4 linked regions of the Lepisosteus oculatus genome follow. The protein of the gene in region 3 purifies or fractionates together with the protein of the main gene of each other region. This does not show direct contact. Links are inferred from orthologs where the notes say so. Each region holds a gene or a part of one and is shown on either strand. Other genes may lie near its edges.

Region 1 (7,098 bases), on a different chromosome or scaffold from region 3:
ATTAATTATGCAGATAAATGTTTCACGAAGAACAAAAATGAATAGTGTCCCGGTAGTGTTGCATTTGGAACAACAGTTTTTTTAAATGTTCTCTGGAGGTCTCACTGTAACCACGTTTTCTATTTTATATTGTACTGTAGAAAGATGAGTAAAGGTTTGGTATTTATAACAGATGGGATGTTTGTCCTTCAAAATGTGCATTTTCGTGCTGATCTGTTTACTGTGGATTTGATGTTATTATATAGCCGGTGCGAAACACCAGAATTGTTTTAGTGTGAATTAAAACGCGCAGGATAAAAAAGAAAAAAAGATCAATGCGAACCTTATTACTTCAGTTAGATCTTTTCTTTGTAACTTTGGTTATTTCAAGTCTGCTTGCAGGCTGAGGGTAGCATACCTTTCTAAATATTTTAGAACAGACCTTTTTAACTGGTTTATGATAGCAGTGGAGCACTGAGAATCTGGTGATATGTGTGTGTTACACTGGTCATGTAGCAGTTAAACCTTTCTAATCCTACTTTGATATCACAATCTTGCCATACTGCTTTACATGTTCCTGTGTATCTCAGAAAGCACAAAGTTGTGCCTTAATAAACACTTCTTTAACTCTCTTCAGATTTGCTGTTTTGTACTTCAAAATAAAATCCTCGGATAAAGTTTTTTTTTTTGCTATATTGATATGCAGCCTGGGAAGTACAAGAAACAAGAAAACTGTGACTTCATATCGAGATAAAAATAAATTTGGAGGAATAGGGATTAAAACAAAAATACTTTAATTTGTTCAACAGTATGAACGAACATTTTAAATAACCGTATTGGTGTTGTTGAATAAAACTCCAGAAAGAAGCTGTGAAGGGTTGGTCTCCCTTTACAAAAGCACCACCAATGACACGAGTTTACTGTAGTCAACAATGCTCAAATAGTACCACCGCTGATCTTCTGATGGAACTGTGGAAAATGAATATAACACAAATAGAAAATACAACAGCAATAGATTTTCTCTCTGAAAAACCTATACTGTATATTTTACTTAAATATTCAATATCATTGAATTGAAATTCGGTTAATTTCAGATAATACATTTGGGACATTTCACTGTCCCAAAACAAAAGATGCATGACAAGGATCCTACATTTGTAAACGCCTCTTGGCAGCCAGTTTTCATGAATCGCACAGCATTCAAACCTCATCATTCCCTTCATATCAATGATGGCCCAGTTCGTGTACTGTAACAGGATGATGCCCACCTCCACACTGTGTCCATTGCCCGACAGTGACCCACAAGGTTTTGCCCCACTAACAGAATCCACTCCTTCAAGGATTACTCAGAGCGGGCACTGATCAGACACATGTGGACTGCTGTGCCTTTTCTTCCTAGTAAACACGATGGTCAGACTTCTGGATCTGTGGAGGAAGCTGGTCAGCACTTAGAACAGCATCATCATCTCTGTGAGGGACACCTCCCGTGTGAGATTATGGGGACAAGGATGCAGAATCTGAGGGCACAGATGACTGAGGACTACGCACAGCTGAAGCAATGCTTAAGCCACACGTTGTACACCTCAGGAATACACCACTCTGTGAACTTCATCAGTCTGCTTCTTGCACTTTGCCTGCTTTCTATAAACAAAGCAGTCAGTTTGTTCATCCCTGTCCCAGAAATAATATACTCAAGTTGCATTCCTGAAAAGAAACTACAAATAGGAATTCGGATGCTCTTAATATTACCACTGAAGCAGCAGCATGGACTTGTGTTTAGGGCTTTGACACAAAGACCAGAGGGTTGTGGGTTCAAATCCTTTTTGGAATTCTGTGATCCAGTAAATGTGTAATTTTTAAGGTCATTGTTTTAATGGAGAACTTTCTTGTCCTTTCATTTATCTGGTTAAGTAAAGAATTGAAATAAAAAGGGAAAAATATCTCATGATTTTTTTTATTGTTGTTTTTTTGGGGAGAATACGAACTGGTATGAAAGCATATTTGAGTGAACGATTTGGATTGTCACCAGGCTCCAGGAGTGCTTGTCATGTACTAGATGACAGAACTGTGCCAGAACTGAAGCCGGCCTTTTTGGGGCATTTATCAAAGGTACTGATCAGCTGTATCACTATCCAGAATACAAAAATGAAATGTCCCACACAGGTTTTCTGTGTCATGCAGACCCAAGGTAGCAATCTCCGTTTGTTTGTTTTTTGTTATAGCAGACATTCTTCAACGGGAGGTCAGAGCAGACTCGCTCACTGGCCAACTTCAACCCTCTAACACAAAAAGGTTTGCATTCCATGTGCCCTCAGTTTTTTTTTTTACATTACTTTATTAACCCTTTACAATTTCTTGCATTAGGAATTTGTCTTTTCGCATACCCCAGTTTGCTCTCCATGAGACACACAGACAGGGAGAGAAGCTGGGGGTCAGAGTGCAGGGTCAGCCATTGTACAGGGCCCCTGGAGCAGCTGGGGTGAAGGGCCTTGCTCAGGGGCCCAACAGAGTAGGATTCCTCTGCCGGCTGCAGGATTTGAACCGGCAACCTCCCAGCCACAAGCGGAGATCCTGAGCCACAGAGCCACCGCTCCGCCCCAAGTTATTAAAGTTGAACTATCAGACAAGCTAAACACAGGAGAAGAGTGTTCCATGTGTCACGCACATTCAGAGAAATCGCACTTGGACTTGCAAGCTCCACACAGACAGATACACACAGCTGGAATTGAAACTGAGACCCCGGTACTGTAAGATGGTGGCGCTAACCTCCACTCCACCCTCTGCCGTTATTTCTTTAGCTGCTCAGGGGTAACTTTCTTTTCAAGGTCTTTTAATAAAAGGGTGCACAGAAGAACTGGTGTTTTTAAGCCACTGGTGGTCATCAGGCTGCTTTCAAAGCAAATTTCAAAGGCCGTCAGTCTACTTTATGGTTTTGTGGTTTTAATGGACAAACAGAAAGAGCTAAAAATAACTGTCATCATATATTTCAGCTAAATATTTTCTCAACTCTACAGGCCACCTCTAGGTCAAACACTGCCTCCTACATTCACAGGTTTGTGTGGGTAGTGTCCTAGACAGGATACTGGAGAACACAATCGTGGAATAGTTCGAGGATAAAAAGTCACACTGTGGAATCGTTAGCGTGCGTAGGCTGCAGAGGAACAAGTAAAGGTTTATTCCTGCTGAAAAGAGAAGAAACACAACGTTTCAGCTGTGAACCCACTTGAAGAAGATCCATAGCCGAAAAGTAAATCTTTTCAGCTTTCTGGCAACGTGCAGAAATGTTAATAAATGACAAATATTCAGTATTGAATGTAGTACAGCAACAACAAAAATAAAACTTTTCGTGCATCTGTATGTAGCCTCGCAGTATCCTACACTAGACGTGCAGAGTGATAGTTTTTAAAATAAAAAATATAAAACTAAAATATATATATAATAAATAAATATATAATGAAAAATATAAAACAGGAGGAAGGTTAGAAGCTGGAGGACGGTGTCCCATTCGATGTATTTATCACGTTTGGGTGGTAGTAGAGAGTCATGTGGGAATCTCATCCGGCATCCAAACAGCAGTTTCTTGAAAAAAGTAGGGTGTCTCCCTCAGCAACTGGATTTTAAGATCGTCGACGAAAGACGCGACAAACAACGAATGATTATTTAAGCAATGTTTGGAATACTCGTACCTTCCAGTAGGTTACAAAGGATTCTTAGAATTACGTTTATTGCGTGTGTATATTACAATAATATTACATAAAGCAGTCTGTACAGTACATACTGTTTCATTTGTTTAGATCAGTTTGTCATTTCGTTTAGTTTATTTCACTGAAATTAACTAAAGTGCATTTTTGTGCATTAAACAAACTCTTGTCGCCATTTTTTAAAAACAATTACGGTGATAATAATCGAAATAAATGAATAAACGGACGTTTTCCTGATCTTTCCTCTTATCTTTGTTATCATAGGCTCCATTACAGTGCACACACACTCACCGAAAGTGTGAAACATTTACTTCCTCCCTCCCAAGATGGCGCCACAAAGCTACGTACAAATCCGACGACAGGAACTCTAGCCATCCGTTAGAGGATCTCTATGGCCTTTTTTTGTCACTGGTTTCCGGTTTGTTTTGCTCACTGACGGAAGCGGGGTTGTAGCAGGCTCCCGAGAAGATGTCGCCGTCCGTGTTTAACTTTAATGATGCCAAAGAGAGATTTGCGGTAAGAAACTGTGTTAGTGCAGTTGCAGAGTTGATGAAACCGTGGCTCGGGACGAGAACAAAAGGGATTTTAACGTGCAACCCGTGTGTAGGGGAAGGCTTTTGTGTTGCGTACTGCGGCTCTCGTCTTCTGCGGTGGAGGATGTACGTGAAGAGTTTAAATGAACGTGATTGAAATACCAAAGGAATTTGCCAATTTATCCGTTCTTGGTCAAGTCAGGCTAGTACAAGCGGAAAACAGCTTTGCTTGTGAAGGTCCTGTCGGCTATGGCGTAAATTCCCGTCTCGGGAGGTGACTGAAACCACTGTGGGGCGTGTTTGAAGAGTCTCCGGCGAGGCATTCAAAGCATTGCTGTCCAGACGTATGTTGTATCGTAAAATAAGCTAGAGCATGTGCCTCTGGTCTTGCTTTTAAAGGATTATCCTCCTAAAACACCATAGCACGTGCTATGTTTTGCTGTGCTAAACTAAACTCTCAAAAGCAATCCAAATGTGGAGTGACTTAAGATCATATGGCCAATGTCTTTTGTGAACCTGTGTTTTTAATTTATTCTTTGTTGTTGTTTTTTTTCCAATAGAGTACAATCAGAAGTACCTTGGACAGCAAAACTGTCAAGCCCTTAATCAACACATTTAATCAGCTCCCTGGAAAGTAAGTGCATTTTCCCACAGCTTGACAAGAACGTCTAAGGGGCTGTCGTGGTTTTTCTATAGGGTGTTCAGCAGCAATGTGAAAACGGTGCTTGGCATAAAACCTGTATTTAAAGTGCATGATGAATAAATTGCTTCCTCTTCTGTTTGACCTGTTAGTGAGACAGAGAAGAAAACCACACTTGACCAGGCTCTGCGCTGGGTTCTCGAGGGAGAAATTGTAAGTCGTCATAAAGATTGTCTTAAACAACAGAAGTTCTGCTTGTGTTTAATGGCATTTTAATTACTGTAAATCCTTTAACTCCTATGGAACTTTTCTGGACACTCCACTCAAAGTGCTTTACGGGTAATCCTCTCCACCCCCACCAGTGTGCAGCCCCACCTGGATGATGCGCCAGTCCGCTCCCCACACACCAGCTCTCAGTGGGGAGGAGAGCAGAGTGATGGAGCCAGTTCAGAGAGGGGGATTATTAGGAGGCAATGATTTGTAAAGGCCTGGGGAAAATTTGACCAGGACACAGGGGTAACACCCCTACTCTTTTTGAGAAACACCCTGGGATTTTTAATGCCCACAGAGAGTCAGCACCTCGGTTTTATGTCTTATTTGAAGGACGGTGCCTTTTTACAGTTTAGTGTCCCCATTACTATACGGGGGCATTAGGACCCACACGGATGGGTCCTACTGGTCTTAATAACACCTCTTTCTTAGCTTTGATATATATTTACAGAAGTGTCATATTTAGATCCTTGAAATACATGATCCACATCTACCACACCTTGGGTGCATTGTCCCCACATCACAAAGCTGGGTACACGCAGGGAGCGTCATTCCAGCAACTGGGGATTTGTCAGTGGAATTAAACTGCCGTTCTTTTGCAGATAAAACGAAAAGCTAGCTGTGAAGACTTCCTGGCTCTTATCTATCTCAGCATTGATGGAGTTACAGAAGGTGAGTTATTAGGAAGATCATGACAGGTTTCATTTAAAGACTGAATAGCAGGTGAAAGCCTCACAGGACACTGGACATTTTGATCAGTAAACAGTTTTGATGGCTGTTCTTTGCATTTGATGAGAAAAGTACTACCTCGACTTTGTAAAAGTGCCATTATGTAACTGGATAAGATTTACTTTACTCTTGACCTACACCGGTAAATTCATTTCAAACGTCAGTAACTGGTTCTTAGTCATTATTTTGGGATTAAGTGGGAGCATTTATTTTTTGAGGATGTAGAACAGGTCTCAATTCTCAGCCTGATGTTATGTGTGATTTGTCGCATTTGTCGTGATTTGTCTTCTTGTACCATGTGGTTTGAGGTTGATGGTTCAATTTGTCAGCTTCAAATGACAAAACAAGGATGGCGCAGTACCGCAGTGGCCAGCATGGCTGCCTCACAGCGCTGGGGCCCTGGGTTCAATTCCACACCTGGGGTGCTGTCTGTGTGGAGTTTGTATGTTCTCCCTGTGTTTGGATGGGTTTCTCTGGTTTCTTCCCACAGTCCAAAGACTTCTTGGCAGGGTAATTGGCATCTTGGGGAAAACTGCTCCTGGTGTGAATCTGTGCATGTCTGTCTCTTCCCTTCGCTGGACTGGCGTCCCATCCAGGGTGTACCCTGCCTTGCACCCGTTGTTTGCCAGGATAGGCTTTGGCTCCCCTGTGATCTTGATTTGGATCAAGCGTTTAATAAATGGCTGGACTGATGGAATTTAAAATGATCCTTCTGACACTCGGGGTGCCAGATGAGCTTCAGTGTCAGCCTTGCCTTCTGTGTCCCCCCTGTAATCGAAGGTATTTGCTCGGCAACAACTCCTTTCCTGCTGCTGGGAGATGTACTGGACTGTCTTCCACTGGACCAGTGCGATAAAATCTTCACTTTTGTTGAAGAAAATGTTTCAACGTGGAAATCCGTAAGTACAGCTTGCCAAGTGCGGTCCACAGCACGAGCTATTTTGAAAGCACAGAGGTGACTCTTTGCTCCGCTTCTGAAACCTTCTGTCTCTATGAGGAAAGTCAGAAATGAGAAAATTCATCTGTTTGCCGAAACACTTAACAGGTCACAGTCGCTGCCCGTGGTAATGCTTACACAGGGGTAAATACTGAGAGATCAAAATCATTCTCCCATGAGTGTAATATTCTAAAGTTAGTAGAGTGTCAATATAGCATTAAAATGTCATGTTTTTGTAGGGTATTGGGAAGAAATATCGCCTGTTGAATATTGGGTTAAAGCGGCTTTTTCTGCTGACTTATATCATAT
Region 2 (7,282 bases), on a different chromosome or scaffold from region 3:
GGTTAGCGAGAGGCGCAGAGACTAGGAGACACAGTGGGAGCAGGTCAGGTTAGTGAGAGGAGCAGAGACTAGGAGACACAGTGGGAGCAGGTCAGGTTAGTGAGAGGCGCAGAGACTAGGAGACACAGTGGGAGCAGGTCAGGTTAGCGAGAGGCGCAGAGACTAGGAGACACAGCAGGAGAGAGAGGGGTTAGCGAGAGAGGAGCAGAGACTAGGAGACACAGTGGGAGCGGGACAGGTTAGTGAGAGGCGCAGAGACTAGGAGACACAGTGGGAGCAGGTCAGGTTAGTGAGAGGCGCAGAGACTAGGAGACACAGTGGGCGCAGGTCAGGTTAGTGAGAGGCGCAGAGACTAGGAGACAGTGGGAGCAGGTCAGGTATTGAGAGGCGCAGAGACTAGGAGACACAGCGGGAGTGGGTCAGGTTAGCGAGAGAGGAACAGAGACTAGGAGACACAGCGGGAGCGAGAGGGGTTTGTGAGAGAGGAGCAGAGACTAGGAGACACAGTGGGAGCGAGAGGGGTTTGTGAGAGAGGAGCAGAGACTAGGAGACACAGTGGGAGCAGGTCAGGTTAGTGAGAGGAGCAGAGACTAGGAGACAGCGGGAGCAGAGGGCACCGCAGTTCCCTGTCTCACCTGAAGATGGCGATCTCGCCGTAGTTGTTTCCAGCCGCGAGGAACCGACTGCAAGGCGAGAAGCTCTGAGAGAAGACGGACATGTGCAGGAGCTGCAACACAACAACACAACCCTGGGTCACAGCACAGCACAATGACAGTGTAACACAACACAGCAACACAGCCCTGTGTCACAACACTGCTCAAAAACACAGTGTGACACAACACAGCACAATGACAGTGTAACACAACACAGCAACACAGCCCTGTGTCACAACACTGCTCAAAAACACAGTGTGATGCAACACAGCACAATGACAGTGTAACACAACACAGCAACACAGCCCTCTGTCACAACACTGCTCAAAAACACCCCTGTGTAACAGCACCATTACAATGTAACTCGGCACATCAACACAACCCTGTATCACAACACAGCTGAAAGACACAGTGTGATCCAACAGAACCCTGTATCACAACACAGCTGAAAGACACGGTGTGACGCAACACAACAACACAACCCTGTGTCACAGCACAGCACAATGACAGTGTAACTCAACACATCAACACAACCCTGTGTCACAACAATGCACAATGACACAGTATAACACCAAAACATCACACAACATTGTGACAATATAATAAAGATAAGAATAATCTGCTTCGAGAAGGCCCTGTCATCTGCAGACTGTGGGAACAGACAGTGAGCCCCTCTCAATAACAGACAAGCTTGAGGACAGGAGACCAGAGTTAGACGAGCAAATGGTCTGGTTGTGAGGTGGCGAGCAGGAAAATAAGTCGGACAGCTACTGAGGTGCCAAGCCATGCAGAGCCTCAAAGGTGAGCATGGGGATTTTGAGATGGACACGAAACCCGATAGGAAGCCAGTGCAGGGACTCCAGGACAGGAGTAATGGGATCACTTGCACTAGACCTGGACAGGATCTGGCCTGTCGAATTCTGAACAGACTGGAGTCTGTTCAGTGTGGGTTTAGATACCCCAGCAAGGAAGGCGTTGCAGTGATCAATTTGAAAGAAACATAAAAAAAAGTCCTGGCCAAGTTTTCAGCAACAGTTATCAGGAACATTGGACCGTAGCCTGGCAATACTTGGTGGAAGAATGAGATTTGTTTTACAATATGTTGCACGTGTGGGTCAAACGCCAAGCCTGGATCAAATATCACCACCACGTTCTCCGGTTTAGACTGAAATTCCAGCGCACAAATTCAAGGGCCTTCCTGCAGTTAGGGTCACTGCACTGGCTGCACAGTACACTGTTGAAGGGAGGTGCAGAGAAGCATGACTACAGGTCTGTCACTGTTTCAATTAAGAAAATCCAGGATGTTATGTCAGAGATGCAATTAGACAGTACAGAGACAGTCACTTCAGTGCCAGGTTTATCATGGATACAGATTTATGCATCATCGGCGTACCAGTGATTGTTTACACCGTGTGATCTCAATAGCTGACCAAGTGGGAACAGGTAAATGCTGAAGAGGAGGGGACCCAGTATCGAGCCCTGAGGAACACCAGACTTCACAAACCCAAATTCAAGACTGAAACCAGCAAAAGAGGTAGTGTAATAGGGGAGTTTGACTTCAGCAGTCTGTTTGACCTTAGCAGTAAAAGTCAGTAAGAGCCCAGGCTGGAGTGAAGACCAGGAGACACAGTGTTCCTCCTGGATCAGGACTGAAATAAAGTCAGGAAGAGCACAGGAGTGCTCTGGTCTAATCTGACTATTAACGTTGTGGACCACAGTAAGAAAAGAGGAAAGAGAAGGGCGCTACACCGTGGACACGTTCAGAGGGGAGCTGCCACACTGTGGGTTATAAAACACGGGACACTCTCCCGTGGGGTTTGTCACGACCCTAGAAGTCGACCACCCTCCATCAACGGGGCTGTGTGTTGGTGTTTTGGGGAGAGGCTGTGGATTTATGTCCGGAGACACGGGTGGAAAACAGAAACTCGGATAAAACACGGCACCTCCAGCTCGGAGCCCCCGGCTGCTGTCGCGCCGTTACTTCTGAACACAAAGGCTCAGACAGTAACCCCTGTTTGTGTAAAAGCCCCAGAGACCGGATTACATACTGGAAATATTTTTTTCTAGAACTGAAAATGTCCTGTGCTACATCCCCCGGGGCTTTTACACAAAGGCACCCCCGAAATCCTGCGACACACGCAACGTGAGAGCGCGCTTCATACACACAGAGACACGAAAAGGACGGGCCATCACCTCGACCGGTCCCATGTTTCCTCTTGTTTTAGACGCGGCGTCCAATCTGGCGAGAAAAGTGAAACTTGCACACAAGCCAGACTCGTCAGCCCCAGGTCTGCACAGCCCAACACTCTCCCTCTCGGAAAGGGACACGGGCGGCGCAGGGCAGTGACGTCACAGGACCCCCCCCCCCGCTTTCGTGGCATGACGGGAATTGTAGTTTCACGGCTTTGAAACGCGACCGTTGTTCCCTTTCCGCTAACAAAAAAAAACACGCATGCATGCACAGGATAAGAAACTACTCTCCCTGTAGCTGCAAGAGATTGGCACAACCCTTGTTGCGGTTGGCGCAGTCACATTTTTTGAACAGACAGGATATAGGTGCATGAATTCATTTTGTTTATATAACGATATAGATGTGATCTGGTGATGTATCTTTATTTGACATTTTCCATGATACAGGATCTCCAAGATTCGTAATGCTGAGGTGATGAATCTGTAATGATCAATTGACACAAATGTTTTTGGTTATTGTCTGTCAATTTCAATACTTTTTTTTACACAAAGGGGGGTGGGAGAGTGGAAAAAGCTACCCAGTTATATTGTTGAAGCCAATATCCTGGCTTCTCTCGAGACATAGTTCAGATCCTGGGATTAATAAACTACAAAATGTTCTCCTCTCTATCTCTTTAGTTGCTGTTGTTTTTAAAAACATACATCCATTAACATAACTGATTCGTATGCTCTGTAGATATACATACTGTACAAACCCATTTGTGCTTCTGAACCACTGAATCTAAACCACCGGACCAGCTGTCCTCCCGGTGTAACAAGACTGGACCAGAACCACCGGACCAGCTGTCCTCCCACTGTAACAAGACTGGACCAGAACCACCGGACCAGCTGTCCTTCTGGTCTAACAAGACTGGACCAGAACCACTGGACCAGCTGTCCTCCTGGTCTAAAAAGACTGGACCTGAACCACTGGACCAGCTGTCCTCCTGGTCTAAAAAGACTGGACCTGAACCACTGGACCAGCTGTCCTCCTGGTGTAACAAGACTGGACCAGAACCACTGGACTAGCTGTCCTCCCACTGTAAAAAGACGGGTCCAAAACCGGACCAGCTGTCCTTCCACTGTAACAAGACTGGACCTGAACCACTGGACCAGCTGTCCTCCTGGACTAGAAGACTGGACCTGAACCACCGGACCAGCGGTCCTTCCACTGTAACAAGACTGGACCAGAACCACCGGACCAGCTGTCCTCCTGGTGTAACAGGACTGGACCAGAACCACCGGACCAGCTGTCCTCCTGGTGTAACAGGACTGGACCAGAACCACCGGACCAGCTGTCCTCCTGGTGTAACAAGACTGAAAACACACACACGCCAGAAACAGAAAACTCCAAAGAACTGCCGGATTTTTTTTTCTTTTTTGATTTTATTATTTCACAAAAAAAACAGCTTTTAAAGAATGTTTTGTATTCACAAACAGTGTCATCTTGCCCTGCGCCCCCCCTCCCCCCCAAAAATAATTCACAGATCAAGACCCAGTACGGCGTGGGCACGCACATCCGAAGCCCGCGTCAACGCCGCCTGCACACCGCGCTCTCTCCACCTTCCCCAGAACAAACAAAACGAAAAGGGAACCATTTCCGTCCTCCAAAAACAGCACAAAAGTCACAATCGGATATCGGCCTCTCCTCCTGGTGGGTCTCTCTCTCTCTCGCTCTTCTCTTCCTTTCGTCGTCTTTCCCAAACTCCAGTGTCAGCATCTCAGTCCTCCATCTTGGAACAGTGTCCTTGTACCACTCCCCTCGCCTCCCCCCCCCCCCGAGCAACCCAGAGTGGGACGGCCCACGAGCATCTTGCAGACTAGGTCCTGGGCTGTACCACCACAGAGTTGGGGGGGGCGGGGGGGAGTTGGGAGAGGGAGTCCGGGTGTCGACACCTGCGAACAAGAAAGAAAAGGCTCTGGTCAAACCCGACAGGCCAGTCTCCCGCGCTGTCCTCCCCCCTCCTCCCCCGCTCATCTCACGGCTCGGTGAGAAGACGTGGGGACGGTGCGCCCCCTTTCCGATCGGAACGGCCCTCCTGCCAGGGGTACGACTGGCGAGAACCGGGGAAAAAAACGCTTTCCGAGTGGGACTCCGCCTGGCCAACCACAGGAATTGCTTACCTTCCCGCCCGGCACCTTATTTCCTGCGTTTCTTGCTGGGTGACCGGCTGTCTGACCTCTGACCCCTGCGGGCAGACAGGAGAGAGAGAGAGAGAGAGAGAGAGAGAGAGAGAGAGAGAGAGAGAGAGAGAGAGTCAGGGTTCATCCTGCAGACGCACACACAACAGGACAGCCCTGGCTGACAAGCACACGCTGGGGCCCGGACTCTGTCCCGCCAAGCCCGGGCTGCTTCTGTGCCTCCCCCCGGCATGACGGGAGAAGATCCGCTTGTCCAGGCGGCTGCCCCTCACACCGAGCGAGGGGTACGCTCTCCCCTACCTCCACCCCCAGCGCTAAAGGAAAGGTGCAGCTGCGGGGTTTACGGGGGCCTACGATACCACCCCCCCCTCCCCCCAGGCCAGGGGCCACAAAGGCACGCTTCTCCCACCCTGCCGGAACGGAGCGACCCCAGACGTGTCCGAGTCACCACATCCGACTGATCCGGACGCACGCAGAAACAGCCCATCGCCAGGAGGCCCCGAGCGGGCCCGGCCACAGTCCAGCGCCGGCGAGAGCGTGTTTGTGTCCCCCCCGAGGGCCCCCTGCGGGACCGGGTCGCTCACCTGTGAGGGGGGGGTGAGGACGGCGCCGGCCTGCGCTGTCGGAGCGGCGGGGAGTAGCTGGGAGAGCGGGAGTCCCGCAGGGAATCGGCCGGCTCCCTGGGCCGGGGAGGACTGGGGGAGAGAGGGAGAGAACCACCGTGAACAAATCCATATCGCGATAATTTCCCACAGTTACCCCGATAACGATAAATGGAACGAGCATTTTTCCTGAAACCCTTGAAATACGATATGATATGCTGGAAGACCCCATTTTAAATATGCGAAACTATGAAACTTAGTAAACGTCAGGCACCACAGTTTGAGAAAAATGTGTTCTCGAGGGCACAACGCATCTCTACGCATCGGGGGCTTGAACGAGTCTTTCAAACCACTGCAGCTATGGGAAGCATGTCCTTCGCTGTGCAGTGTGTAATGGCGTTCGTTATCGCGTCACGCCTGCGTGAATCTTTCGCGCATCGAGTGGCATGAGTAAACGCTCGTGTTAAGAGAGGAATCCCTTCGGCCATGAGTGCGCTTGACAGTCTCTCTCGTTTTTTGGCCATGCGCCGTATTCGTATCCCACGACATGGCTGCGTTTAAAGCGATGAAACCAGTTGCTCGTGTTACTTGTGGGCGCAGAAACGGTTCTCCCGACAAGAGCTCACATCCGACTTCTCTCTGTTCGGCATCCGGTTCGCTGAAGCCAACACACGACCTAACGATCGACACTGCATCTGTCTGAGCTACCAGCTCGTCTTCCTTCGTGCTCGAGTCCTCCCTGCCCGACGGGGGTTCAGCACGAGCGCTCCCGTCGTCTCACGCCCGGCTCGCTGCTTTGGGTTTTGAATGAAGAACGCGGGTTGGACAAGGCAGAAGCCTGTGACTGGATCTGACGACTGGGGACCGCTGATGAAAACCGCACAGTGGGGAAAGCTTTCATCCCGACATAAGCAAAATAAGGTCGGCGAGAGATTCTTAACATCGGTATCGATACGTTTTCGATATGTATTGCCCAGCCCTAGTGCCAGGCCAGCGAGAAGACGGCGGAGCTGGTCTGAGGGCACTCGGACGCTCTCTCTCCAAATGATACCGGCAGGAAACCCCCTCTTTTAACAGGCGTCGGATTGCACGGACAAAAACCCACTGAAGAGGGATTCTGTCTGAAAAACCCAACACCGGACTCTCCCCTCAGTAAGGAAGGAAAGCACAGACAATAAAAAGCAGAAAGAACTACTACACGGGACTCCAAAAATCAAGAATATCAATTGATCAAAATCAAGATATCAATATCGGGGCAGTACAAGGTCAACTGCTTACGATGGGTGGAGTATGTGCTTTGGATGTTGAAGAAAATTTTATACGGATATTAACGATACACGCAATAAAGAGCCTGTATATTTCAATAAACCGCCACAGGAACAAAGTTTCGCTCGCCGTGTGTTGATTGCAAGTATTTTTTGTCATAATTCAAAAGATGCAAAAAATGATATAGAGCACACATTTTCTCAAATGACAGTGCTCCTGGGCAGAAACACTACTGGTTCGACACTGGCAGTAACAGACACCCCCCTGCTCCTGCTCATTACCACTTCGCAGAGTCTGCAGCGGGAGAGTCCTCGCTCCCGGAGGAGGATGAGTCGGAGGAGGAGGAGGAGGAGTCGGAGGAGGAAGAGGAGGAGCCCGAGGCCTTCCCTG
Region 3 (7,474 bases):
TGCAGCCCCAAAAGCATCGGCTCTGTCATAATTCTCAGAAAACACGGCGCACTCCTATCTCAGGAGCATTGCGAGGTATATTACAGGCCACCCCTCTGAACACAGAGCTTGCAGCCCTGGGCGCTCTCTGAGGACAAAGCAATATTGAGTCAAATAAGATATTTATAGCCAGGAAATGCAACTCACGAGACAGGGGAGCTTGGAGTCGGTGGAGGCAACTAAGCCCTGAGATGAGAAGATCTTTGCCTGGACACAACAGAGGAGCTGGAGAGCACAGCTAAGAAGATATCCCAGAGACCTGACAGAAACATGTCAATACTGTCTGACGTCTCTCCCAGAGGACCCTCCAGTTAAACAAAGCCTGTAAGTGTTGTGCAGAGACTGTCCGGCGGTCCCAGAGGGCCACAGAGGTTGTCTCTTGGGGACCCCTGGACACTCTCAGAGGCCCTAGAGGACCCCTGGACAGTCTTTGAGGGCCCTAGGAGACCCCTGGACAATCTCTGTGGCACTAGGGGACCCCTGGACTTGTGTGAATCGCGGGGTGTGGAGTCGCTGTTCCTTCCCTGGCAACAGAGCCCTTGTCAAACCCATCCTCCCGAATTTCTGTTCTCTGACCCGCCTCAAAATTGCCTCCTGGGACAGTTCTGCGCTGTTTGAAAGTTTTGTTTTATTTTCCTTTGCAAAAAAAAGCCCCCAGCTGTAGGGGCTGATGTTGAACTCGGGACTCCTGCGTTGCTGGTTATGGAGCTTGCAGCTGAGCAGCGCTCACTGCTGTACCTGGGTCAGAACAGAGCCTGCAGGCAAGCACAGCACAATTACAGGCAAGCCAGGCAGTGCATAAAAATAACAGCTGCCAAATGCTAACCTATGACACTACAGATACACAAAACATAGCTTCATATTTAAAACACAGGATATGTAAGAAAATGTCTTTTGAAAATTGTGAAAAAAGTGCAATACAGGTTTGACTGTCTACAACTTAATAGTTCAATTCCCCAACGGGTCCTTTTCTTTTTTTTTTTGCTCAGCTTTGAACAACATTTCTAACAATTTGTTTCCATAAGTAAATTTTCTTACAGTTATATTAACATTCATGAGGATGTACATTATGAGAAACATAATAAATGTCACCTGATCTGTCTTGAATTGGACCTCAAATCAAGGCCCAAGGAGACCCTCCCAGTTCAGATACTGTAAACAGTAGTAACACATAAAACCTTTAAACGCTACTCGCTCTCTTTAAGGTCAATTCACAAGAAAAAAGTTCAAAAGTTTAAAAAGTTAAAAAGTTCATTTTCACACAATTGCTCTTGCAAGTACTCTGAACCGACGCCGTTGCTCCTCTGAGAGCAGTTTTGAGACGCCTACAGGAAACTCACGGACGTGATTTCTACCGTATGGATAAGCGAATGACGATCCATCAGCTTGTTAACGTGAGATTGAGTTGCTGTAACTGGTTTGCCACAGATGCCACAGCTCAGTCCCCAGAGATCCTACTGCCCTGTCCTGACATGGGGACTTAAGGCTCATGGGGCCTGAGCTGGATCCCCTTTTCAGACATTTGAAGTGCCTTCCATTTGGATCACTTGACCCTTCACCAGTAACCAAGATAATAGGGCTACAGAAATAAAGAGTCTGGACCACAGGCGAAGCATCTCGAGGTGTCTGCTAGTTCTACAAGGACATCCGGAGAGGGAGCTGGGCGTTATCAGCACTCACCATCACGGCAGCACCAGAGCAGGGCTGGGTGTCCTCAGAGGTCAGGGTTTGTCAGCCATGACATGTGCCTGTGTCACTCAGACTTTGCGGAAGGGGGTGCTGGACTCTCTCCAGCTGCCATTAAATCAGGAAGAGCCTTATAGGGCACTGGGGCCAGGGGACACAGTATCTCCCCCAGTGCTGCCCACGCACACACGGCCGGGGAGCTGTGTGATATGCTTCTTCTGGGGAGGCTGGAGCTGATCATGTTACACATGTGACCACAGGTGACACAGAGGCCCGGGGGAGTGCTGTGCCACTGGGGTATCAGACACCAGTATCCATGATCCACACCCAGCAGCTCCCAGAGACCCGATCCCAGCTGGCGGGTGCACAAGGGGTGAGCCTGGAGGGCAGGCGGGTTTCTGGGAAATTCACGAGCTCGGGAAGGGGGGGTGGGGCCGCTGGCTGTGGGCAGGGGGAGGCCAGCCGGAGACGGGGGTCACTCAGCTGCCCCTCCGGCAGCACGCTGTAAACTGACGCGCTGGGTCACAGGAGGCACAGGTTTCTTCTGACGGAGTGGAAAATCGGGCGGAGCACCCTTTAGAAGTCCAGCGCTTTCACTGCCTGTCAGCAGCGCTAAATGATGATCACAACCTGAGCCTCCTCCCCACCGCCCATAGCAGCCATAGTGCGCCAGTCCTCTCCCCACACACCAGCTCTCAGTGGGGAGGAGAGCAGAGTGATGAAGCCAGTTCAGAGATGGGGATTATTAGGAGGCCATGATTGGTAAGGGCCAGGGGGAATTTTGGCCAGGACACCAGGGTTACACCTCTAGTCTTTTTTGAGAGACACCCTGGGATTTTAAATGACCACAGAGAGTCAGGACCTCAGTTTTACATCTCCTCCGAAGAACGGCGCCTGTTTACAGTACAGTGTCCCCGTCACTATACTGGGGCATTAGGACCCACATGGACCGCAGGGTGAGTGCCCCCTGCTGGCCCCACTAACACCTCTTCCAGCAGCAACCTCAGTTTTTCCCAGGAGGTCTCCCGTCCAGGTACTGGCCAGGCTCACACCTGCTGAGCTCCAGTGGGTTTGCCAGTTGGGAGTGGCAGGGTGATACGGCTGCTGTCTGTGTATTGCAGACTGAGCCTCTGTGAACAGCTGAATTGCCTGAGCAGGAGGTGGCCTGTTTCCCAATTCCATCCCCACTCTCCCCTGAGGTCCAGAGGGAGGGATTCTCCACCATCTGGAGTGAAGCGCAAACCGGGTAGTGAAAACCTGGAGCAGGCTGTCCAGTCCTGGTGCTGAAATGCCTCCAGAATGAAAAATGAGGAACATGATCAGGGCCCTGCTGTCTGTATCATGTTGCTGAAAGGTTCTCCACAAACGCCAAAATCAGGCCCCTTCACACGGCGACAGCACGACTGTCCCGCGGGTTACTCTCACGGGACACAATGAAAACCTACAGGGAGACGCCGAATTCGAGGAACGTGAGAAAACACACGTGGGCGAGCGGCGCCACCTTGTGGACGCGCTCGGGAGCGCAGAGGCTTTTCTGAAACGAAACGCCGGCTGTGACTGTGACGCTCAGGGCGGACCGGTACCGTCGCGGTCCGCCTTGACCTACAGTCCGGACAAAAAGGGGAGACCTTCCTCGCGTTCACGCGTGGCGTGGGCTGCGGAAGGCTTTTACCCCAGGAAGGGATGTTGCCGGCTCCCTTCCAGCCGGAGCTGGAGTTCACGCTCTGCTCGCCTCGACATCCCTGTCCGAGCCCCATCCACGCACACTCGCGAACCAGGGCCCGAGTCACGCGGGGGACCACCACACAGCACCGCTGCCGTCGCGCGAGCACACTGCTCTGTGGCCCGAGACACGCGCCCCTTCACCCCTCGACTTGACACCTCGTGCTGGCGCGACGCCGGACACTGGACACCGGACACTGGACACTGGACACCGGACACTGGACACTGCGCCAGGCCGCTTCTAGTCTGCCCGTTTGTGGGAGTTTGGTTTTCCTTCGGATTCTGAATGTGGGGAATTTGGGAAACAAAGAGAAAGCTAACTAGAGTTAAAATTATAAAAGCCCAGCGGAAAGAGATAGGCAGAAAATTAAGTTACGCCGCCTGGACTCCTTCTGGCGTTCAAGCACACAACAGAAAGAAAAGCAATATAATCCAGGCTGGGCAAACGATTTTTTAAATTTTTAGAAAATAAATAAAAAATTAGATATAATGATGCGTTCCTTAACATTGCACTACTTTAAAACCTATAAAAACAGGTTTCGATAGTTAATAACCACTTTTTATGCGCGAAAAACGGGTGATTTTGCTTCCTCGTGATCAGCCAGAATCTTTGTGTACGCCGTACGGTTTTTACTTCTTAATTAAACGCTTAAAATACACGAATTTCATAAAGACAACACATCACAGAAATGAAGATGGCGAGTTACAGTTAGAACAGACGGCCGGCGCTTTGTGAGTCACTGTTCAGATTGCTGTTGGCTCAGTTACTTAAAGGCGTAATCATTCATTCTAGGATTGGAATTCATATATGTGCCCTGTCACTGTTGTTAAATCTTGTATTAAGAGTATTCTTTCTGTTCGTACCACTAAACTACACTCCTTCAGTTTCCCGGTTCGCAGTTTGTAAATGGGTCGAGGGCTCCGCCGTGCTGCCGCCAGTCCCCGGCGCCGCCGCTGGGTGGCAGTGTCGCTGCGGCGACGCGCTGTGCCGAAGGTGCCGCTCTCTCCCCCTTCCCGCTGTCGTTGGTGCGGCCGCTCTGTTTGGGCTGAGGCGAAGGGAAGATGGCGGCCGTCCGAAGCTTGCAGGTCTCGGTGAAGTCAGAAGCTGGGTCCGATCGCTCAGAGTCAGATTCTGAATCCGACTCGGACCGGGATTCCCGCGAACCGGAGCCAATGGAGGTAGAAGAAGGTGAACTGGAACTGGAGTCCATTCCGGTCCGCCGGTCACTGAAGGAGCTGTTACCGGTAAGTAAGGCCGCGCCACGACCTCGGTCCCCAGTAGAGAGCAAGGCCGGGCTGGCGTGGCTGACCAGGGGGGTTACAACGTTCCAAGAATCGGTGGTAACAACTGCTTAATGACAATGTTGTCCTGCTGGTTTTGCTTTTTTTCTGTGAAAGGAGCAGTTAAAATTGTGGTATTGGTGTCTCGAATGTTTTGTAAATAGGAGTGTTAATGAGATCAGGTCCTTTTAACTGGGCTCAGGGATTATCGTGTAGTTTCAGTTTTGTCAGAGTACTTGAAGCTTTAGGAGCAGATCGAGTCTGAAGCACAGCCTTTCCAGAAATGGCCACGGGATGGAATCTTTTTCCCAAATGTGTTTATAATCGGTGTCTCAGAGCGATGAGGTGCTGGTACCTTACCTTTATGACTAGGGGTTGCGTCGGAGTGGGTTGGGTCTATTTCAAAATATTGAACTTTACATTGCTTATTCCCCTTTATCGTACTGTCGAAAAGCTCCATCCCGCCTTTCCTGTTTTGTAAACTGCCTTTTGGAGGGTCGGGTTGGGTTTTGTCGTGTTGAACTCAGGGCTGACGTTTCTCAACAGGACACCAGCCGGCGCTACGAGAACAAAGCTGGGACCTTTATCACGGGAATCGATGTCACCTCAAAGGTACGGGCATCCTTGCTCTTTCCGTGCCCTGCGTCTGTTTCCTGCTCCCTGGTCTGGCGGCGCTGTGGTCAGTATTACTGCCTCGCAGCGCTGGGGCCCTGGGATCCGTCCCCGACCCGGGGTGCGGTCTATGTGGAGTTTGTATGAGTTACCTCGGATAGAGTGTGTGTGTGTGATTGCCCTGCGATGGACTGGAGTCCTGTCCAGGGCGTATCCTGCCTTAAGCCTTGCTGGGATAGACTCCAGCTCCCCTGAACTGGTTGAAGCAGTTAGAAGACATCGCTGGTCCCTGGTCTTACGTCTCAGAGCTCCAAGTATTAATGAAACAGTCAACATCCTGGTTAACCCCAGTGTCCTGGCCAAATTTCCCCCTGGGCTTTACCCATCATGGCCTCCTAATAATCCCCCTCTCTGAACTGGTTTCATCACTCTGCTCTCCTCCCCATTGAGAGCTGGTGTGTGGGGAGAGGACTGGTGCATCATCCAGGTGGGGCTGCACACTGGTGGAGGTGGAGGGGATCCCCATTACCTGTAAAGCTCTTTGAGTGGAGTGTCCAGAAAAGCGCTATATAAGTGTAAGCAATTATTATTATTATTAATTAATCAGTCCTGTAGCCCCGAGTCTGAATGGGCTCCCTCCCTGTCCAGAGCGCTTGGTCCGCTCGTGGTTCAGAGTCCTTGAGCCCAGACGTGTCCCGCCCCTCCCCTCCTGGCTGCGGCTGTGGCGCAGGGATTGCGTAACATGGTGTTCCAATCTCTCGCAGGAGGCCGTAGAGAAGAAGGAACAGCGGGCCCGGCGGTTCCACTTCCGCGCCGAGGTCAACCTGGCCCAGAGGAACGTGGTGCTGGACCGGGACAGGATGAGGAAGGGTGAGTCCTTCAGCTGGGCTCTGTGTGCTGGCTGCAGCGCGCTAGTGTGTTACTGCTCACAGTTTAGATCAGATCAGATCACTTCATTGGTCATATACAATTGCTTGTATCAGGAATTTGTCTTCACATACCCCAGCTTGCTCTCCATAAGACACACAGACAGGGAGAGAAGCTTGGGGTCAGAGCGCAGGGTCAGCCATTTATACAGCGCCCCTGGAGCAGCAAGGGTTAAGGACCTTGCGCAGGGGCCCATCCGAGTAGGATTCCTCTGCCGGTCGCGAGATTTGAACCGGCAACCTTCCAGCCACAGGCGCAGATCCTGAGCCACAGAGCCACTGCACCGCTTCACCGGCTTAGCTGCTGCCTTAGAAATACAGTCCTCCCCATTCGTGTAAATAAAGCCCACCGTTCCTTCTTTCTTTTAAAAGGGTAACAGTGTGAAAGTATGTAGATGAAGAAAGCAGGGTTAACCAATAGGGTACAGTTTGTGTAGAAGCCCACTACGAGGAGCAGAAGTTCTAGTAACTGAAACGACAGCACCCTTAGGAAAGAACTGACTGATGCATTCAGTGCCGGATTGTGGTGTCCGTAGGCCCTGGGCACTTTCACTCTGAAATGTGCAAAAAGAGGGTTGAACGCCAGTTGACACGATGCACTTTAAACTGTTCTAGTGCTAAACCACCTGATTGATGAAGCAAGCCGAGCGCCCATCACTTCCATACTTCTAGTTTCTAGAGCAGTTGCTAGAGAGCGCATGATTATTGATTTGGAGCATCTGGAGTCGATCGCAAGCACGTTGTTTCAGCTCGGTTTTTGTTAGTCACTAGTGTTTCCCTCCTTCCTAGGCCCTGGGCACTGTGCCTACAGAGCCTGATGGGAAATCCGGCACTGGATGCGTTTCACAAAGGCAGAGATTGTAGTCTCTGCTCAGACAAAAGAATGATGGGAAGACAGTTTGATACACGCAGGAGGGGAACGGCATAAACGGGGAGCCCACAACCTAAAAGAGCTGCCACCAAAAGTTTTTTTTAAATCCACCCTTGGGATATTCCTGCATGTGGAGCCTTAAGGATGCGGTAGCCTGGATTGAGCTAAGGGACCAGTGCTGCGTGAAACCTTAAGCGTCGCAGAAAGAATTTTAACAATTCATGAGAGACGCAGACAAGAAGGCACTGCAGAGAGTGGCCAGCAGTAAAAAGCCTAGTGAGTTGAGGGTCTTCAGCCTTCAGGCAGAGAATTACAACCGTCTGCTGAGATGTTTCAA
Region 4 (7,489 bases), on a different chromosome or scaffold from region 3:
ATTGTAATGCTGCAGAGCCTGCCGCCCAGGGCTCAACAGATGTTCCAGGAGAGCAGGCGACGAATAAAAAAATACACAATGCTAAACATTAAAAAAAAAACATATCACAAAATATACAAGTGTTTTTTTTCCCCCTCAGTGAAACCAGGACATTGCCTGGGACCAGTCACAGTGGAGTCTCCCTCTCTGCCCTCTGCTGCAGGACGCCTCTGGCTGAACTGCCCCACCCTCCTGCACAGAGGTCAGCAACACGGGGAGGCTTTCTTCCAGGTCTGGGCCTTCTTGGCAGGCGGGTAAACTACACAGTTAACAGTCACTCGAGCAAGCAAAGAGCACGCCGGGCAGACGTCCTGTCGCGGCCGGGACCGCCCGGCAGCCCCTCCTCACTCCTTGAACTTCCACTCCTGGCGGCACATGGGGCACTGCTGCTGCACCTGCTGGGAGTTCAGCCACTTGAGGATGCAGTGCATGTGGAAGCAGTGGGAGCACTGGCCCCACACCAGAGGGCAGTCGTCTCCGGGCACCTTGCCTGGGAACAGACGGAGACGGTCGTGAGCAGAGCGCCCCCTGCTGCTCAGGCTCAAGCACACTTCCCTGCGCTTGACGCGAACGCGGGACGTGGGCCCACAATCCACTGCTCCACAGTCCTGGCCATCCCCCTCCCCTTACAGAGCCTTGAATTCGCACACCCCCCCTCCCCGCCGGCCGGACTCACAGTCAGGGCAGCAGCCGTTGAAGGACATCCTGCAGATGCCACAGTTCTCGTCATTGGCGACCCACAGCCAGGAGGCGACGCCATTCCACTGCTTTATCTTCACCTTCAGCCCCCGCTCCATGGCGCTCTCTGCAGGACACAAGGCACCACTACAGCTGGGTGGGCACTACAGCTCAACAGCTGTCCTGCTGCAGAAGCAGATGGCTCCACAGGCTGCTGCACTGTGCAGGTTAGCTGGGCTGCTCTGCTCCCTCACACAGCAGAGCTTTAAAGAGCTGCACTACTACAAATTGCACTGCCCATGAACCAGAAAGGCAAGATCACATTAATTTTGTGCCAATCTATCCCTGGAAGATCCAGAGACGAGAGCCTGCAGCTCCTAACACCTGTAGTGGATCTGCAGGCTGTGCAGTGAAAGTCTCCGGTTTCCCTGCTGCTTCAGTGCAGGTGGGGCAGCCGACTGTAAAGCTCCATCCACAGGTCTCGCTTGTGAGCTCAAATCTCAGCACATGCTAACGACTAGCACCTCACCAGAAGGATAGGAACGACGCTGTGACAAAGGCTAAACAGCACAAAATAAAGCTTACCCAGTTAATCTAATTAGACAGCACGTACTGTAGCTAGGATATATGTGACCTGGCACAGGAAGGGATTTTAAAGCTGAGTTTACAATGATAGACTTTAAAGCATTTCCTCTGCAGCCTACGCCTGTAGAAAGTATATTAAATTCAGCATCGGCTTGTGAACGGGACATACTGTGAATACGCCTCACTCTTCACCCCTTCATCAGAAACCGCGGCGTTAAATCTGCCCTGCGGACACAATAACGAAACACTAACATTAATGACTAATTAACAGACGTTACTCTAAACGTCTGACCGATGTTGTTGTCACGTGTCTCAAGAAATGGCCGTTTGGCTTCTGTCAAAGTGAGATCGAGCTCAGTTGCAGAAGCTGCCCGGAGAACCGAAGCGGGACCTGGCTCCGGCCCTGAGCTCCTTTCCGACCTCGGGGGCGACGGAGCCCCTCAGCCCGCTCTCCTAGTGCAGAAGCGCCGTCCACTTCTGTCCCTGCGAACGGATGAACTGGTCGGGGCGACACATTATTATTTAGACCGCTCCGTCTGCTACACAGTGTATCTTAACTGTCCAATAACACAAGAAACTTCACTGTTCAGACTTGACTATGTTACGCACATCATCTCAGGCAAAAGCGTCCGCTAGGCAGCTATATCAAATGAGAGAATAGTTAAAAACTGAACACCGCACAGTACCTGCACGACTCCCGTAACCCCTCTCAATTGATCAGGCCTGAACAGACCGCAACTCTTTCCGTTGATCCTCAACTCTGCGATCGTCTAACGCGACTTTGACCACATTTAAAAAGCTTGTCGTCGGAATACCGCCGCCTGGAGGCCTGGCGTGACGTTTACAGTGAAACACGAGACAGCGGCAGGAGTGGAAGCTAATTTGAAGTCCAATTGGAAGTAAAACAGAGACCAGCAGCCACTGCTAGTAGAGTAGTAGTAGTGGAGGAGTTTATATTCGTGGTGGTCATTCAGGACATACACAGTACAACAGACAACACCACCTACCTAGATGTACACCTACCACACAATGCAGGCAGTACATCACACACATAATAAATAATAACAACAGGAACAATAAATATGTTATGGAGAACAATAAATATGTAGTAGTGGAAAAAAACATGGTAGACCATGCAGAAAGTGCAGATAAGTGCATTGAGTCTGAGGCCCTGCAGTGAGCTGCTGTTGAGGATGCACACTGCAGTGGGATAGAAGCTGTTCCTGAGTCTAGTGGTCCTTGCTTTAGCAGCGGCACCGCTGGCCAGAGCGCAGGGGCCGGGATGGGTGGGATCCTGGATGAGGGATTGGGCTTCACTGTGACAGCAGACGGTGTGAATCCCACCGATTGATGGTCAGTCACATCCTGTGATACCCTGTGCCGTTGCCACAAGCCTCTGTAGTGGGTCTCTGTGATGCGCAGACTTCTCCCACCTCCTCTTCTTTCCTGAAGGGATGGTGGGAGTGTGGAACACGCTGATGCCCTGGTTTCTTAAAAAAAACAAACTGGATCAATTAACTACCAGACGCACTAGATGGGCTCCTCCACAGCTTGTTACTGTTCTTACAGTCTAACTGGCCTTTGTGCCCTTTTGTAGCGACATACACACAACACATCACAACACAGGACGCCACATCACCACACACAACACACACACAATACATCACAACACACACAACACACCGCATCACCACACATCACAACACAGGAACACACATCACAACACAGGACACCACATCACCACACACACAACACACACAATACAAGACACCGTATCACCACACATCACAACACAGGACAACACACACAACACAGAGCAACACTCGACAACATATCACAACACAGGACAACACATCACCACACATCATAACACATCTCAACACAGGACAACACATCGCCACACATCACAACACATCACAACACAGGTCAACAGGCGAACAAGACACAGAGAGAAGATACAGCTCTTGGGATCACACCACAGAGCACAGATTACAAAACAAATCCTTATCATGTGAAACAGCGACATGTATGAAATACTGAGCTTTTGTTGGACATTTGAAAAGAGATAGAATTGAGTAAATATAATAACTTATTTTAAAGAGTCCTAATTGATGTTTTTGAGTAAACATAAGTCCGTTATGATGCCCGTGCTCAAAGTGAGGACGAAGCAGGCTGAGTTTTCCACTGTGGAGTCTCAATATTGTATTTTCTGAACTGCGGAGGAATGTGGCAGGCAGCAGCAGGAGTGTGCTGTGTGCCCCAGCAGAGTGATCTGCAGCTTGTTGCTCTCTGGACTAGAGAGCATTCTGCCTAGAGCAGATACTGATGGGCGCCAGGGGGACCGAGACGCTCTGACGAAATATTCCACATCTCCTAAGCATGAATAGGGTCAAACGCCTCTCAGTCACTTAATTGTGTCAATGTACTGAGTTTGATGGCTGTGTTTGGAGTAATTGCCATGTCTGTGTTCTTTTAACTTCATTTGCTGCTTGCGGATTATTCCAGTGTACCTTATTATTGTATCCTCCACTGCAGCAGTCCTGTCTCTGTCAGCCTCCCTCACTCTCAGCCCTCTCTCGCACTAATAATAATAATAATAATTAATAATATAGTGCTTTTCTGGACACTCCACTCAAAGCACTTAAGAGGTAATGGGGACTCCCCTCCACCAGCACCAGTGTGCAGCCCCACCTGGATGATGCGACGGCAGCCATAGTGCTCCAGAACGCTCACCACACACCAGCTCTCAGTGGGGAGGAGAACAGTGTAATGAGGCCAATTCACAGATGGGGATTATTAGGGGGCCATGATTGGTAAGGGCCAATGGGAAATTTGGCCAGGACGCCGGGGTTACACCCCTACTCTTTTCAAGAAATGCCCTTGGATTTTTAATGACCACAGAGAGTCAGGACCTCGGTTTTACATCTCGTCCAAAGTATGTGTTGTATTGCATTGCAACCACCTGTGAACACTGCTAATATTGTCTTGTTTTTTTTAAATATGTCCGTTATGGACTGGAGCGCTGCCGGTCTCTAACAGGGAATACAGCACATACAGTACAGACTCCGAAAACTACAGCTCCCAGCAGGCTAAGCCATTCCACTGAGTGCGCAGGCGTCAACCCCGCCCTGCATGACGTCTGTGTCCGACGCCAGCCGCAGCGTCTTAAAAGGCGGCCATTGTGTTTTCTCCTCACCACTTCGTGCTCGGGTATCAGCGGGGGCGAGTTGCAGAGTAGGGATAGTGCGTGCGAGTTCGTTTGTCTCTATTGATAGGCTTAGTTCGGCGACTCGAAATGGTCGATAAGATGGATATGTCCTTGGACGACATCATCAAACAGAACCGGCAGCAGCGGGGCGGTGGCGGGGCCCGTGGCGGCAGGGGAGGCCGGGGCCGGGGAGCGCCCGGCGGGGGCCGAGGCGCCGGGGCCGGCCGGCTCGGTGGCGGAGGCGGCGGCGGCGGCTTTGGGGGTCGCGGCGGAGCAGGCCCCGTGCGGACCCGACAGAGCCTGAGCAGAGGCAGAAGCAGACCCACGCCGTACAGCAGGGTAGGAGAAAAGAAAGAGATGGGGAGAGAGAAAGAGGAAAAATGGAAAAGCGTGGCGCCCGAAAATGCCCGGGTCTGCGGAGCTTGTGCGTTTAATATCCTAACGTGCTAATAGAGCTGTTACTCACTGGAGTGTCTCTGGAGAAACAAAAATGGCTATATTTATTGCTAGATGTCCAATTTACCCGATTCACTTTCCTTTTTAAGGAAGAAAATAATTAAAATGCCTAATGTTTTCCTTTCTCCCCCAACCTCTTTAACCTTTCGTGTTTAACCTAGTTGAAAAGCGGGCGTTATCAGGAGACATGTTTGGTTTTTTTTTTTCGGGCTGCTATGCCGCCCGGGAGCGGAGAGCTCAAGTCTAAATTTGTTCGAGTGTCTAGAAAGAGCAAAACGCCATTTTTAACGGCCACGAAGACGCGGTGCAGCCGCCGGCGAGGACGGGAGGCCGGCGGCGGCGGAGGAGGGAGCGGAGCGCTGCGGAATGAATGAGCCGGCTTTGTGTGCGCCCGGCCGGGCTGTCCGGCCAGGAGGCGGCCCCCCGGAGCTCCGGGCTCCAGCCCCCCGCCGAGCAGCGCTGGCAGAGGCGGGGGAGGCTGTGGAAGGACACTGATCGGCCGGAGTTAGCCGCCGACTACACTGCGGTGGCCGTGCACCCGCAAGGGGTCTCCGCTTAGCTGATCAAGACAAAATGGCGCAGCTACAAAATGGACGCTCTCTGCAGGCAGGGCTCCGAGGCCTCGGACCGCAGCTGCAGCTGCCCTGCGGCGACTCTTCCACACGGGGACTCTGTTCCACTAGAGAGCCGCCTTTCTGCAGAAACACGATCGCGGGGGATCCACGGACTTGATCCTGCGGCGGGGCGGCGGACTCTCCGGGCCTCAGGACCGCAGGCGGAGGACAGGCTCGGCGAGGGGGGTGGAGAGGCGCCGCTGCACGGATTGGCCCCCTTTTCAACACCTGCGGCTGGAGTCTGAGGGACCCTCGGCCGGGGCGGCGGCGGGCTGGGACCTGCCCCCGGCGGGCGGGTTACCGGGACACTCGGTTTCAGAGGCGGGAGGTCGGATTGGCAAGGGGGCAGTGAAGGGGTAGGACCCGGCGCTGAGCCGACGGCGAGCACCTCCGGTGTGCTGGTGCCTTTTCCGGCCTTGTTCCCTTTTAAAGCTGTGATCAGTGCGCACCTGCACTGTAACCTTCCCGTTTCTCCAGGGTAGCGCAGTTTCAGCCATTGCTCCTGAGTCTAGTGTAGCTGCCTCGTTAGGTTTTAAACAGCATTGAATGCATTTCTTGAGCAGAATGTTCATTTTACCCACAAGGCTCTGTTGGGGGGGGTTATGTGGCTTCTCTTTTGGGGGGTGCACCTAGTGTTTGACCTTTGGGGGGGGTTCACAGTGATACTTTTATTTGGATCAGCTCCCGGAGGCAAGTTGTCTGCGGCCAGCTGGTGCTCCTGTCTGGTCTTGGGGGCTTTCCTGGTGGGGCAGGCGGAACCAGCCCAGATTGCTGCCTGACCGGGCTCCCCTCCTGGTGTGGGCCACGGTGGTGCGACTGGGTTCCTCTGGCTGCTGTTCCTCTCGGGAGCCGGCGTTAGCTGTGGGGTGTCTGCTGGCCTTCCTCTCGGAGAGCGGGGTCCTGGCGGCCTGGCGCAGCGTGCCGACTGGGAAGTCAGCAGGTGCGTTCTGTTTGCTCTCTTGCAGCCCAAGCAGCTCCCGGACAAGTGGCAGCACGACCTGTTCGACAGTGGCTTCGGCGCGGGCGGCGGCGGCGCCGGCGTGGAGACCGGAGGCAAGCTCCTCGTCTCCAACCTGGACTTCGGGGTCTCGGATGCAGATATCCAGGTGAGTGCTGACTCTGCGCGGGGGTGTCCTGGTTTGGACTGCGTGTAGCTCGCGTAGTGGCTGCATGTGGCTCTGGGATAACTGCAGTTCCTAAACTGGGTCTCGCCTCTCATTCAGGAGAAACACAGCACTGTAGCCCTTTCACTCAACAGCTCCGAGGCAGGGGTGTGCAGTCCTGGTCCTGGAGGGTTTGTTCAGAGCCCCCCAACCTCAAGGGGTCACAGAAGTTACACTGGTCCTATTGTGCCAGTGATTGAACTGTGCTGGGTTCATAACCTGCAGTTGCTGAGGTGACCCTTTTCCAAGGTGAAGCACATTTCCATGAGGGGGGGGTCCAGGCTCTCACCCGCAGGCTTCGGTGTGATTTCCAGAGGCAGGTGTTCCTGTTGCAGTGAGAGTGCTAGCATACAGATTAAGACACCTGCTCCTAGCCTTTTGGTTTGCTTTTGAGAAGCTAGATCGGTGCCTTTTCCTGTGTCTATCATTAGCCTACAGCTGTTGTGCCCATGGGGTAGCAGGGTGGAGTTGAGCCTGCGCGCCTCTCGTGTGGTGGGTGGGTTGGGCTTGTTGGCGAGCGCACAGACCTGATGGTGCCCTGTGTTCCAGGAGCTGTTCGCGGAGTTTGGCACGCTGAAGAAGGCTGCGGTGCATTATGACCGGTCGGGTCGCAGCCTGGGCACGGCGGACGTGCACTTCGAGAGGAAGGCCGATGCGCTCAAGGCCATGAAGCAGTATAATGGCGTTCCACTGGATGGTGAGTCTGTCCCCTGTTGTCCTCATTTTGGAATTAGGATTTTCGCCTG

The links.
Region 1: the proteins of ncbp3 (region 3) and thoc1 purify together in Homo sapiens (co-immunoprecipitation; 4 studies listed by BioGRID and IntAct, with this or other methods). This does not show direct contact. The link is inferred for Lepisosteus oculatus from reciprocal best matches to the Homo sapiens genes NCBP3 and THOC1.
Region 2: the proteins of ncbp3 (region 3) and thoc6 purify together in Homo sapiens (co-immunoprecipitation; 3 studies listed by BioGRID and IntAct, with this or other methods). This does not show direct contact. The link is inferred for Lepisosteus oculatus from reciprocal best matches to the Homo sapiens genes NCBP3 and THOC6.
Region 4: the proteins of ncbp3 (region 3) and alyref purify together in Homo sapiens (affinity purification with mass spectrometry; 4 studies listed by BioGRID and IntAct, with this or other methods). This does not show direct contact. The link is inferred for Lepisosteus oculatus from reciprocal best matches to the Homo sapiens genes NCBP3 and ALYREF.

What each region holds. Positions count from the first base shown.
Region 1 is NC_090701.1:57,196,640-57,203,737, forward strand, and holds the start of thoc1 (THO complex subunit 1), read left to right. Parts: upstream 1-4,079; 5' UTR 4,080-4,148; coding exon 4,149-4,196; intron 4,197-4,773; coding exon 4,774-4,847; intron 4,848-5,005; coding exon 5,006-5,066; intron 5,067-5,725; coding exon 5,726-5,795; intron 5,796-6,632; coding exon 6,633-6,751; intron 6,752-7,098. UniProt on the Homo sapiens protein: Component of the THO subcomplex of the TREX complex which is thought to couple mRNA transcription, processing and nuclear export, and which specifically associates with spliced mRNA and not with unspliced pre-mRNA.
Region 2 is NC_090699.1:5,871,385-5,878,666, reverse strand, and holds the start of thoc6 (THO complex subunit 6 homolog), read right to left. Parts: upstream 3,006-7,282; 5' UTR 2,862-3,005; coding exon 2,847-2,861; intron 728-2,846; coding exon 636-727; intron 1-635. Other genes in the region: srrm2 (serine/arginine repetitive matrix protein 2), read right to left, coding at 5,023-5,071, 5,609-5,719, 7,174-7,282. UniProt on the Homo sapiens protein: Component of the THO subcomplex of the TREX complex which is thought to couple mRNA transcription, processing and nuclear export, and which specifically associates with spliced mRNA and not with unspliced pre-mRNA.
Region 3 is NC_090721.1:10,765,904-10,773,377, reverse strand, and holds the start of ncbp3 (nuclear cap-binding protein subunit 3), read left to right. Parts: upstream 1-4,462; 5' UTR 4,463-4,509; coding exon 4,510-4,692; intron 4,693-5,274; coding exon 5,275-5,340; intron 5,341-6,104; coding exon 6,105-6,210; intron 6,211-7,474. UniProt on the Homo sapiens protein: Associates with NCBP1/CBP80 to form an alternative cap-binding complex (CBC) which plays a key role in mRNA export. NCBP3 serves as adapter protein linking the capped RNAs (m7GpppG-capped RNA) to NCBP1/CBP80.
Region 4 is NC_090704.1:47,020,023-47,027,511, forward strand, and holds the start of alyref (THO complex subunit 4), read left to right. Parts: upstream 1-4,472; 5' UTR 4,473-4,597; coding exon 4,598-4,849; intron 4,850-6,545; coding exon 6,546-6,686; intron 6,687-7,292; coding exon 7,293-7,440; intron 7,441-7,489. Other genes in the region: anapc11 (anaphase-promoting complex subunit 11), read right to left, coding at 384-529, 716-836. UniProt on the Homo sapiens protein: Functions as an mRNA export adapter; component of the transcription/export (TREX) complex which is thought to couple mRNA transcription, processing and nuclear export, and specifically associates with spliced mRNA and not with unspliced pre-mRNA.